3 linked regions of the Canis lupus familiaris genome follow. The protein of the gene in region 3 interacts with the protein of the main gene of each other region in a biochemical or structural test. Links are inferred from orthologs where the notes say so. Each region holds a gene or a part of one and is shown on either strand. Other genes may lie near its edges. The genes, in order: BAD, BIK and BCL2L2.

The links.
Region 1: the proteins of BCL2L2 (region 3) and BAD interact in a biophysical measurement, tested with the Homo sapiens proteins (4 studies listed by BioGRID and IntAct, with this or other methods). The link is inferred for Canis lupus familiaris from reciprocal best matches to the Homo sapiens genes BCL2L2 and BAD.
Region 2: the proteins of BCL2L2 (region 3) and BIK interact in a biophysical measurement, tested with the Homo sapiens proteins (2 studies listed by BioGRID and IntAct, with this or other methods). The link is inferred for Canis lupus familiaris from reciprocal best matches to the Homo sapiens genes BCL2L2 and BIK.

What each region holds. Positions count from the first base shown.
Region 1 is NC_049239.1:53,296,008-53,299,428, forward strand, and holds the end of BAD (bcl2-associated agonist of cell death), read left to right. Parts: intron 1-2,014; coding exon 2,015-2,205; intron 2,206-2,754; coding exon 2,755-2,880; 3' UTR 2,881-2,894; downstream 2,895-3,421. UniProt on the Homo sapiens protein: Promotes cell death. Successfully competes for the binding to Bcl-X(L), Bcl-2 and Bcl-W, thereby affecting the level of heterodimerization of these proteins with BAX. Can reverse the death repressor activity of Bcl-X(L), but not that of Bcl-2.
Region 2 is NC_049231.1:23,388,844-23,393,180, forward strand, and holds the start of BIK (bcl-2-interacting killer), read right to left. Parts: upstream 2,810-4,337; 5' UTR 2,730-2,809; intron 1-2,729.
Region 3 is NC_049229.1:3,690,801-3,694,844, reverse strand, and holds BCL2L2 (bcl-2-like protein 2), read right to left. Parts: upstream 2,816-4,044; 5' UTR 2,743-2,815; intron 2,466-2,742; 5' UTR 2,378-2,465; intron 1,899-2,377; 5' UTR 1,891-1,898; coding exon 1,459-1,890; intron 863-1,458; coding exon 713-862; 3' UTR 354-712; downstream 1-353. UniProt on the Homo sapiens protein: Promotes cell survival. Blocks dexamethasone-induced apoptosis. Mediates survival of postmitotic Sertoli cells by suppressing death-promoting activity of BAX.

The sequences.
Region 1 (3,421 bases), on a different chromosome or scaffold from region 3:
ATTTCTGAGTTAGCTGCCTGTTCTCCACTTCCACCTCACTTCTCAAAGGCTGTATGGTGTTCCTTCCTGACATCAGGCCTGGACTTGGGTGAAGCTCAGAACAGCCAGGAGCTCTGACCACTCTCTTAATCTAGACCTTTCTGAATCGAGTACTCTCTTCACATCTTAGCTTTCTTTTTTCTTTTTTTATTTCTTTTTTTTTATTTTTATTTATTTATGATAGTCACACATGGTGGGAGAGAGAGAGAGAGAGAGAGAGAGGCAGAGACATAGGCAGAGGGAGAAGCAGGCTCCATGCACCGGGAGCCCGACGTGGGATTCGATCCCGGGTCTCCAGGATCGCGCCCTGGGCCAAAGGCAGGCGCCAAACCGCTGCACCACCCAGGGATCCCCACATTTTAGCTTTCTTAGCCACGGATCTTTCTTAGCCCCTGAAAGTGACCTGTAGGGCTTTGTGTAAGGTCCTTTGGGAGAGAATGAGACACTTGTCCCCTGGCCTCAGAGCCTGGCCTAAATCCAACTTCCTCCAAAATGCCTTCCCTGACAGATGGGCTTTGCCAGGGACCCCCAGCATGTTGCCGTGTGTTTGTTCCATGCTGTCAGTCTGTCTGTCTTTTTTAAGATTGTATTTATTGTATTCATGAGCGTTACACAGAGAGAGAGAGGCAGAGACACAGGCAGAGGGAGAAGTAGGCTCCCTGCAAGGAACCTGATGTAGGACTCGATCCTGGGACTCCGGGATCACACCCTGAACCAAAGGCAGGTGCTCAGCTGCTGAGCCCATGCTGTGTTTCACGCTGTTATGTAGCTCTGGGTTCTTGCTCCTGGGAGTGGTTCTAGGTCTTTGTTGGTCTGGATTTGGGGGTGGGATTGGCAGGAGTGGAAGGATGGCACACAGTACAGAGGTCAGAACACAGGAGAGGTGACTGTGAATGACAACTTATCATGTACTTTCAACTCTCAGAGCACTTTCACATACTTCATGTGACCTCTACACAGCCACTGGTAGTAGGGGATAGGTCTCTCCCCACACAGAGGTGAGCACACTGGTTCAGAGTTGAAGGGTGGTAGCTCAATGGCTAATTACTGGACTCGGGAGTCCAAGAAACTTCTAGGGAGTTCCAGCCTGAGAGCTTCACATTGTGTGACCTTGGACAAGTCTCATTTCTCTAAGTCTCTGTCTTATCGTCTATAAAATGGAAGCAATATTAGTACTCCTTAAGATGGTTAGGAGCATAATGAGGTAATTCCGAGGGCTGGCACATAGTAAGTGCTCCATAATCATTACCTTAAAAAGTCAACAGACAGGGGCACCTGGGTGACTTAAAGTGTCACCTTTGGCTCTGATCATGTTCCCAGGGTCCTGGGATAGGGCCACATTGGGTTCTCTGCTTAACAGGGAGCCTGCTTCTCGCTCTCCCTGTTGCTCCCCCTGCTTGTGTTCTCTGTCAAATAAGTAAATAAAATATTAAGGGAAAAAAAAATTAATAGACCCTTCCAGACTCAATCTCCAAAGTGGGTGTTCTGGGAGGTACAGACATGCTGCAGACAGGTGCTTGTTCTCCAGGGACCCAAGGTCTCCCTAGGCCACAACAGTGAAATAGATGGGCCCCCCGCAGATCACTTGCCCAGCTAAGAGTTCAGCCCTGCCTGGGGCCAGAGACCTCATCCAGGGAGTGCCCCGGGGCCCTGTGGTGTTGCACTGATAATTATACTACTTATGGCCTTATTTTGTGGCAGGCACAGAGGCAGGTCATTTGATACTCTAAGGGCCTGGCCCACTGTTGGGGCTCAATTAAGATTTGTGGGATTACTGAGAAGTTAATTCGAATCTTCACAAAAGCCCCAGGAGCTTCCCTCGCTTTACATATGAAGGAACTGAACTGGGGCTCCAGGTACCCCTGAAGGTACTGTGCACACAGAGCCATCAGCGAGAGGGAGCTGCCCGGAAGGCTTTGGCAAGGCTGGGGGCGCAAAGGAGTAGAGACTCATGTCGCCCCCGTCCCCCGTGCAGGCGCTGGGGCTGAGACCCGGAGTCGCCACAGCTCGTTCCCCGCGGGGACCGACGAGGATGAAGGAATGGAGGAAGAAGAGCTCAGCCCTTTCCGGGGGCGCTCGAGCTCAGCGCCCCCCAACCTCTGCGCGGCACGGCGCTACGGCCGCGAGCTCCGCAGGATGAGCGACGAGTTCCAGGGCTCCTTCAAGGTGAGCGCCGGCCCCCAAAGCATGTCGGGAACTGTAGTTCCGGGGCCGCTCCTCTCCGTCGGCCCTGACCCTGAGTCCCAGGGCCTGCCGGTATCTGTAGTCCACACCGTGCGTCAGAACGTTAAAGGTCCCGAGTTCCCCAGATCCTCGCGGCGCGGAGCGCGCTGGCATTTGTGCTCCCGGGCAGTCCCTTTCAGATATCCGGGTTCTTTGGCTTCAACAACTTCAGAATTCCTCAGTTCTTGGACTGCCGTCCCGGCTTCCAGAGGCTGGGTCTCGGGCTCTTCCGGGGTCCTGGCGTTCTCTCCCCGCGCCCCTGGCACAGTGTGTCTGGGACCTAATCAGTCCCGTTCCTAAGGGCCCAAATGATCCTTCGAGGCTCCTCAAGTGGACAGGAGGCCCCTCGGTGCAGGGCATGCTGGGAGCTACGGTCTTTAGGTCGGCCGGCCGGCGTCTCACTTAGCGGCGGGGTCCCGGAGGAGGAGGGCTCCGACTCGCGCTGCCAGAACAAGCTAACTCATTTAACCCTTTCCTCCTCCCACCCCGAAGGGACTTCCTCGCCCGAAGAGCGCGGGGACAGCGACGCAGATGCGACAAAGCCCCAGCTGGACGCGCGTCATCCAGTCCTGGTGGGATCGGAACTTGGGGAGAGGAGGCTCCGCCCCGTCCCAGTGACCCGTCCCGCGTCCCGAAACTCTCCCCTTCTCTCGGCGCCGCCGGCGGCCATCTTGGGTGTGGGCGGAAGTCTTTCCCGCAGGCTTGATGTAAGAAAGAGGTTCAGTTCTTTCCTTCTCGAAGGAGGCGATCTGACCCAAAGCCGATCCCCTTCCGGTGTGCACCAGGAGCACGGAGGGGTTTGGCCCCGTCGGAAGTTTTGAAGTTTACGCGCCCTTGGCGGCCGGAAGTGGCCCCGTGCCCCCGCCCCGGCCCCCGCCCGGGCTGCCCCGAGCGTCTGCGCCAAGTTGCGGGGCAGGAAAACCCTAACTTCTCCAGAGCCCTTTCCTCCGCGGCGTCGCTGCGGGCTGTCACTCGCTACGAAATGTGCTAATAAAGCCCGCGTTTGTGCCGCCGAGGCTCCTCTCTCTGTCGCCTGGGGCCTCGCAACCCTGAGAGCGTCCTCGCTTTACACGTGAGGGAAACCGAGGCTCCTCCTGAGCGGCTTCTCCTGGAACCGAGCCCGGGGAGGGGTCGGGGCGGCGAGCAGAGTGGCTGCTCG
Region 2 (4,337 bases), on a different chromosome or scaffold from region 3:
AAAACAGGTTTACCCATGCAGTGCCCGGCAAGGCCCAGCGGGTGTTTTGTATTGTCACATCCTAATATTGACACTAGGAAAATCAGCTGTCCTCTCCAAGCCCGCCTCAGGGCGCTGACCACCAGCCCTGGCCTCTCTGCTGCCAGCCTCAATGCCAACGAGGAACTGGGGGCCGTGGCCTCATTTGCTTACATTCTGTATTTCTCCCAGGGCCTGGCCCCGGCCAACCAGCAGCAGGACAAAGAGACCAGGGAGCGGCTCCACATGTCCACTCTGGACCCACTGCAGGCTTCCTGGTGGCTGCCAACAACAAAACCCGAGCGTGCCGGCAACTTCCTTGAAACCTCTTGGAATTGTTCTGAGCCGAGAGAAAAAAACAGCCGGACTCTCGTGGGATCCACTATGTTCGAGGCAGGGGAAGCAAGAAACCATTAATTGTCTACAAACTTAATAGGTCCACTACAAACAGGATGCTTTCCAGGGAGAGGGGAAAATACCTCCGAGGTCAGCGTGGAGACCCAACCAGCGGATGGAGCCATCCTCCGAGCACCCCCTTCCACAACCTAGCCCAGCAGGAGAGGAAAAGAACGGGCTAATGCTGCTCTCTTGGTTTCTCTGCAGCTCAGCAAATCCAGCTTTTATACCTGCCAACCGCCTTGTGAAACTTGGGGTATGTAACAGGCATGCAACCCTCCGTCCAGCCTCTTCCCAGTGGGCCCTGGCTGTGCCACCTGCTGGGGATACTCCGCTGAGTGTGACATAGGTCCTATGGTCCTCATGGAGCTGCAGGCGAGCGTCATGCTAAGTGAGCACAAATGGGTAATTTCAATCTGTCTCCAGTGTCCTGAAACAGTACAATGAGTTCCTTGCACAGAGGATGGGCTGCACCTTTATAGAGGAGGTAGTCAGGGAAGACTTCTCAGAGGAGGCAAGCAAGCCAACGGAGCCAGGGAAGGATGACACCCGCAGGGACGGTGCTAAGTGCATCACTCCATTTGTTTTAGGCCTCACGGGATCCCTGGGGCTTGGAGAAACACCCTTGCTGACACAGTTCCCACCCTACCACCACCACCACCCCAAATCGCCTGGCAACCATCTTAGAAGGTTGATTAAATAGGATTCCCCTGTGGTGGGGGGGGGCACATTCTGAGGCACTGACTGAACAGCCACATCCTGGAAGCCAGTCTCCCCAGGTGCTTTAGACACTTCAAACCAAAAACAAGCATAAAGAAATTTGTAGAGCATTGACGCTGGTAAGAGCCCTACCCCACAGCTAAAGCCGGCAGTGACAGCCCTGTGACCTTGAGGTTCAAATGGTGGGAAATCCCCAAATCCTGGAGCGGGAAGGGAAGGGTGGAGGAGAGGCCAAGCTGTGGGCAAGGGCAGCACCAACAACCAGCGCTGAGGCTGGAGTCCCCGCCCAGCCATCGCCTGAGACAGACCACTTAGGGAACTAGTGCAAAAACCACACCAATCAACTCCTGAAAGGTGCCACTGCCAAGACGTTACCCCAAAAACATGCCCAAGAGAAGCAGACACAAGGTTAAAGCATTTGCGCTGAGGGAAGCCACTGAAGAGCCACCAACACCAAGTGGGTGTTCACAGCTGGTGGGGACCTCATGGACCCATTCTAAGGAATGAGCAAACTGAGGCCCAGAGGCGGGAGCAGCCCCTGTAGGACAACACAGCTGGACAGTGGCTGGGTGGAGAGCTTTGGCCGCGCTCCCAGAAAACAGCTCCGGGCTCTTGGTTTGCCGGCGTCTAGGCGGCCTCCTCCTGGAAGCGAGTCTCACTTTGACCACCTGTGAAACGAAGCCTCCAGTCTCCGGAGAGGGCCAGGATGCGGCTCACAACCCTCCCTTCCTGGGGAGCGGGCGAAGCCTCGGGGAGCAGGCCCGATCGGGGCCGGGCCACAGTGGGTGCGGGGCGGGGTGATGTGCAGCGGCGCCCCCCGGGGCGGCTCATTCCAGCCAAAACTACACTGACGACCAACGACCCACGGCAACACGGCGGTTTGGCGCCCAGGCGGCCGGCGGGTTCGGCGGCGCGGGGCTCGGCGGCGGGAGCCCTCGGGGTCGCGGGAGGGACGCGCCCGCGGCCGCTGCGGCGGGTTTGCAGGGCGAGGCGGGGCGCACCTGCGCGGGGCTGGAGCCGGGGCCGGGGCCGGGGCAGGGGCAGGTGCGGGCGGCGGCCGCGCCCCGCTCGCCGCGCAGTTCCTGTTCCGGGCGCCCCCGCCGCCCGCGCCGGAGCCTCTCCCGGCCCTTCGCAGGTGCGCGGCCACTCGGGGCGCCCCGGGGCCATCTTCCCGGTTTCGGCGGGGGGACCCCCTCCCCCGCGGGGGCGGGAGCCGGAGCCGGAGCCGATGGCGGCGCGGGGGGGGGCGCCCCATTACGCGGATGCGGGGACGGAGGGCCCGGGGGCGCCGCGGCCGGGACCCTCGCAGGCGGGGACCTGGACGCCCCGCCGGACAGGGGGCGTCTCGGAGCCGGGGGTCCCGGGAGTGACACACCCAACAGCGGCCCGGGACGGAACCACCTGGGCACAGGTCCCTAAGCAGCCCCCGCTCGGCACCCTGGGCGCCCATCTACCGGGCTGGGCGCGGGGGCGCGGGGTGCAGGGGCGCGGGGCAGCGGGGCAGCGGGGCCGCAGGGCAGCGGGTGAGGGGCGCGGGGCGCAGGGCGCGGGGCGCAGGGCGCGGGGTGCAGGGCGGCGGCGGGACCTGGACTCACCGCGGGTCCGGGGCGCTGGAGCCGGGACGCGACTGTGTGCGGCCGCCGCGGGCGCGCGAGCTTATAAACCGCCGGTCGCGCTCGGGCCCGCCCCCGGCCGCCTCCCCGCCCCCAGCCCGATCCCCGACCCGGGCTCGCCGCCGCCGCCGCCGCCGCCGTGCGCTCCGTGGCCAGGGTCTCCAGGCGGGTGGTCCCATTCGCCGTCCGAGCGGGTCCCGACCGCCCGGGGCTTTGGTCCAGGCCATTTCACCAATGTGGAAACTGGGCGTCGGAGAGGACCCAGCGACAGCGGGGACCCCCCCCCCCCCGTCATGCTCTCGGTGCTAGCAGCTTCGGGAGTTAGGTTTTGTTTTGTTTTTCTCAATTTTCTTTATTGTGGTGAAATACACACGACACGATTTACCGTATCAACCAGTTTTAAGTGTGCCGCTCAGTGGTGTTCAGCGCCTGCATAATGTGCAACGGTCGCCACCTCCCATCTCTGTGATTCCATCTTGTGAAAACAAACTATAAAAACTCCCCATTCCTGGGGCGACCGGCTGGCTTAGTGGGTGGAGCCTACGACTCGCGACTCTCGCTGTTCTGGTCATGGTTTCGAACCCTACTTTGGATGTAGAAATGACTTAAAATAGATATATGTATATATACATATATATATATACATATTTTTTATATATTTTAAATACTTTATTTACTTATTCATGAGAGACACAGAGAGAGGCAGAGACACAGGCAGAGGGAGAAGCAGGCTCCATGCCGGGAGCCCGATGTGGGACTCGACCCTGGGTCTCCAGGATCACGCCTGGGCCAAAGGCGGTGCTGAACCGCTGAGCCACCCAGGGATCCCCTATATACATATATTTTTAAACCTCCCCATTCCCTCCTTCACCCCTCGGCCTTGGCACCCACCTGGAATTAGGTATATTTCCGCCTATTTCACAATCGTGAAAACCAAGAGTGAAGCTTTGGCAGAAACAGCGTCAGCAGCATCCCCCTCCTCCAACGCCCCATCCTTCCACCTGTACCACCCACTGCACCCCCATCCCAGCCTTCCTCGTGGGAGCAGCCTGTAAGGGAGGAGCCCTTCCGTTCCTGCGCCTAGGGAGAAACGGGGGTGCAAAGCCCCTAGGGAGGAGGAGAATCACAAAGGTTCTAGGTAGGGTGGGCCCCAGCCCTGGGGCTGGTTAGGGAGGGGGTAGGGGCAATCCCTGAGGTGGAGCAGGGGAGTGTGGTGGAGGCTGAGGCAGGCAGAAGCCTGGCTGGGATTACAAAGTAACCACTGTCCCAAGAACACAACAACAAGACTTGTTTACCTTAGTCCAGCTCCACAGTGTCTGAGGGCAGAGGAACAGCAGATCCAGGGGAGCTCCCCTCCCCCTAATTGTGCCACTTGCTACCTGGTGGGGCCCCTGGCCCCTTCTTCCCATTTCTGGAGTGACTGGCAGTGATGCCCTCTTTTCCTTCCGTGTTATCTCTGAAACGGCTGACCCCACCCTACACCTGCAGGGCTATAGGGTGGATCAGAGGAGAGATCAGGATCTGTGACCACCAACAGATAATCCTTGGTAAACACCAACAGAGTTTAAACTTCAGGGCCCCCTGGTCCCT
Region 3 (4,044 bases):
CTCTTCTCCCTCAAGCCTGCTGATGACTTTCTGCCAGAAAGTGCCCAAAGCCCTCTACTGGATACAGTGTTTCTCCCACAGCCTTGAGGCATCAGGACAAGGGGGGGAGTGGGGGGGAGGGGCAGAGAACTGCCCCTTGTTCCTGCCACTCCAACAGGGAGCTCTTCTCAAGTACAGCCACCAACAGGTTAGACAAGCAGCCCGGCATGCACACAAGCATGCGTACACATGCACACACATGTCCAAGCAGCCCACCATCACAGCCATCTCTCTCTATCACCAGAGAACCTCAAGCTTCCATTTCAAAGGAATGTGCCCTCTGTTTCCCCCCCACACTCTCACTCATCCAATGGAGACACAACCCCTCCTGCAAGTCGACCTTCCTCATGGCTACAAGCTAAGTTCTAGGTATAGTTTTGTGTGCCTACACCTATAGACATGATCTCTCCCACCTCCTCCTGACCTTGGAATGACTTTATCTCCTGCCCGCCCCCCCGCCCCCGACTTTCCAAATACATTCCCTAATGTCTCCCAGCTCATCCTTCCAACTGCCTGCCTGGCAAACACAGCTCCTTCACACAGTACCCTGCCCTTTCCGATCCCCATTCCGTGCCCATCCATTCACCCCACTTCTTCCAAGGGCATTTCTCCTGTTCTGTTCTTGCTCTCCTGTCCCCTAGCCACACCTAGCCCCGCCTGGCCCCGGACTTGCTCACTTGCTCGCAAAAAAGGCCCCTACGGTGACCAGGGCCCCCAGTGCCACGGCCCCCGTCAGCACTGTCCTCACTGAGGCCCAGTTCCCCTCCCGCAGACGCCGCGCCTCCTCCAGGGCCCCGTCCCCGTATAGAGCTGTGAACTCCGCCTGTGGGAGAGAAGGGAAGTAGGAGAGAAAGAAGGAGAAAGGGAGATCAGGAGAGGAAAGAGTGGAGGAAAGAGGAGAGGAAGAGTTCCAGTTCCATCCACTGCAAGCACTACCCCATACCCAGCTCCTCGCCAGCCAAAGCTCTACTGGCTGCAAGGCCCCATCATCCCCCATGAGCGCCTGGCTCATTTGCCCTCTCTACCTCAAGTGAATCCCAGCCTCTCCTTGGCCAAAAATTGTGCTCTGAACTGACATCCTTTGCCAAGGCTTTCCTAACTACCACCCCATCCCTGACACCCCATCCCCACCACCGCCCATGTCACCGTACTCTGGTGTAAAAAGTTCCTGACAGCTGGATGCCATTTCCCTGCAGGCACTGTGTAGTCTGTCCTCTGCTTTGGACCATGAACCCATCCAGTGATGACTGCATGGCAGCCCTGGAGTGCAGAGTCTAGCGAGATACCCATAGTGAAGGCATCTGATTCCACCCAAATAGGGCGACTCCGCCCCTAGCCTCCAGCCAGAGCCCCCATCTTCCCTCTGGAGACAAGCTTTTTCGGAGGGGTGTGCAGAGCAGCAATTGAGAAGCTTCTTACCCAGCCCCCACTGCTGTGGATCCAGTCGGCCAGCCGTGTCTCCAGGTAGGCCACCATCCACTCTTGCACTTGTCCCACAAGTGGCTCCATCTCTTTGTTGACACTCTCAGCACACAGTGCAGCTCCAAAGACAAAGAAGGCCACAAGACGGCCCCAGTTGGGGCCCCCTTGGAAGAGTTCGTCAGAGACCTGGGTGAAGCGTTGCTGGGCTGAGCCTGGGGTCACATGCAGCTGGGCTGCCAAATCAGAGAAGGTGCGCCGGAAGCGGGTCTCAAACTCATCTCCAGCTGCCCGCATGGCTTGGTGCAGTGGATCAGCTGCTGGGCCCTCTCCAGGGCCAGCTCCACAAACATAACCCTTCTGCCTCAGCTTATAGCCTACAAAGTCTGCCACTAGAGCCCGTGTGTCTGGGGCTGAGGCTGGGGTCGCCATCCGGGCGGCTGTAAGAGTCAAGGATGAAAGACTGGCATGAATATATGGTCAGAGAGCCAGAAGGGGTACTTCAGGCTTGGCCAACCCAGTGAGACAGGGAGAGAGGTGGGAGGAAATGCTCAGAGACCACTGGGCAGGGAAGGGCAAGAACACAAGAGTTAAGTCAAGGTGAGCGGTCAGGGCATGAGGGGCTGGCCATTAAATTCATAATATGCCACATTAAATGCAAAACAAGTAAATTTTATTTTTAAAATACTTTAGATTTTTTTCCACAATAGGAGAATACCAGCTCTGCAACACCCCTGCAAACCACCCCCCCCTTCCACAGTACACACCTTTTTGGCTAAAGGAAGGGGCCTAGTACTTCCCCAGAGGGAAGATGTGAAGATGCTGGCAGAGGCACACAATGGGGGTGGAGACAGGGGCTGAAGGGAAAGGTGGAAGAAGCAAAGGGCTGCCTGGGACAGAAAAGAAAGGGGACACTCACCTAGCCTGGATGGCAGCTCTTAGGACCCAGCCCTGGTGGCAAGGAGCCCCCAGCTGGGGCCTTTCATCCTCCTGGCCAGCGTGGAGCCCTGGGAAGGGGAGGGGGAGAGCAGAGCTAGGTGGGGAAGGCCAGCGATCAGAGTCTGGACTAAGAAGGCTGGGGTTGCAGCTTCCTGGACCGGCCCCTGCCCCCAACATTCTACCAGCTGTGTGGCCGAATCCATGTTTAACGACTGTCCTCCCGGGAAACCCAGGGCCAAGGGCTTCCTGCCTTCACCATCTCTACTCCCGGCTCCCCCCCAGTGCAGTCCAACAGCCCAGCTCCTCCTTCACCCCCACCCTCAGCAAGTCTCCAACCCCGCCTGCCTGCCAGGTTAGGGATCTCACGGGTCAGGCCGCTGCCAGGATCCGGGCCGTTTCCTGGTGCAGGAGCTGGGAGGGAGGGAGAGAGGGAGGAAGGGAGGGAAGGAAGGAGGGAGGAGAAAGGGGGGGCGGGAGGGAGGGCCCGGCGCCGGGTGATGATGGGGCCCAGAGATGCGTCCAGAGAGAGAGGGGCGGGGCTGGGAAGCAAGCTTGGGAAGGGCCACAACTCCGGAAGAGAGAGGCCCGCTGGAGGCCAAGAGGAGTAGGGCTGGGAGGATACCGAGGGCCAGTCTGGGCTCCTGAGACTGAAGGCTGCCCAGAGAAGCCGGCTAGGCCTCAGGAAACCTCGGAGTAAATTCACCATTTCCCAGAAGGTCTCTGATGTTCCATGCACTTGTTGAATTTTTCCTGCCCAGGAGCGGATGCCTGGATTAGGGGAGCAGTTCCCACTAGAATGGGAACTGCTGACCAGGTGCCTTCCTTGCCTTGCGGGACTGGCAGACACGACATGGACACTGAACATTTCACTTCCTCTTCTCTCCAGGACCTCTAATCTAGTAGTCTCTTCATGGGCTGAAGCTTTAGCCAGGCATCAAGACTTGGATCGCCAAGTAGTTTCTGCAGGTAACTTTTCTTTACCTTCCTTTCTTTCTTCTTTCTTTCTTTCTTTCTTTCTTTCTTTCTTTCTTTCTTTCTTTCTCTTTCTTTCTTTCTTTCTTTTTCTTTCTTTCTTTTTCTTTCTTCTTTTTGTTTTGTAATCAGATTGGTTTTCATTCTAATTCTTTTTACTCAACACATGAATTCTCATGACAAGTTCAAACAACATAAAGGTATAAGGGGGAAAAATATGAGTCCTTAATCTCCCCCCCCCTTCCACCTCTTGCCCAATTCCACCTCCCTTCATGGAAGTTGCTAATGACAAGGTTGATGTTTACTCTTTCAGATTACATATATATATATATAATATATATATAATTATATGTATAGACACACACATATATATGTATACTTATTATTTATACAAGGCAGTATATTTATACAGGGCAGTTCACAGAATATTAAGCAGTCTGTCTACAGGTGATCCTCAGGAATGTTCTCTCAGGCATTCTGACTGGGCCCCACTGGCTCTTGCTCTGGCACGTCCTTCGGCTCCATTTGAAGGGATCTCCAGCCAAAGGCTAGAAAGCGGCAACCCACTTTTCCTTTCCTGCTGGTTCCCTTTACTTCTACCTCTACTTCAAGCCTTGATATTCCGACCTGGCCCTACAGTCACAGGAGAAGAAAGGTTTCTGTAACAATAATAGT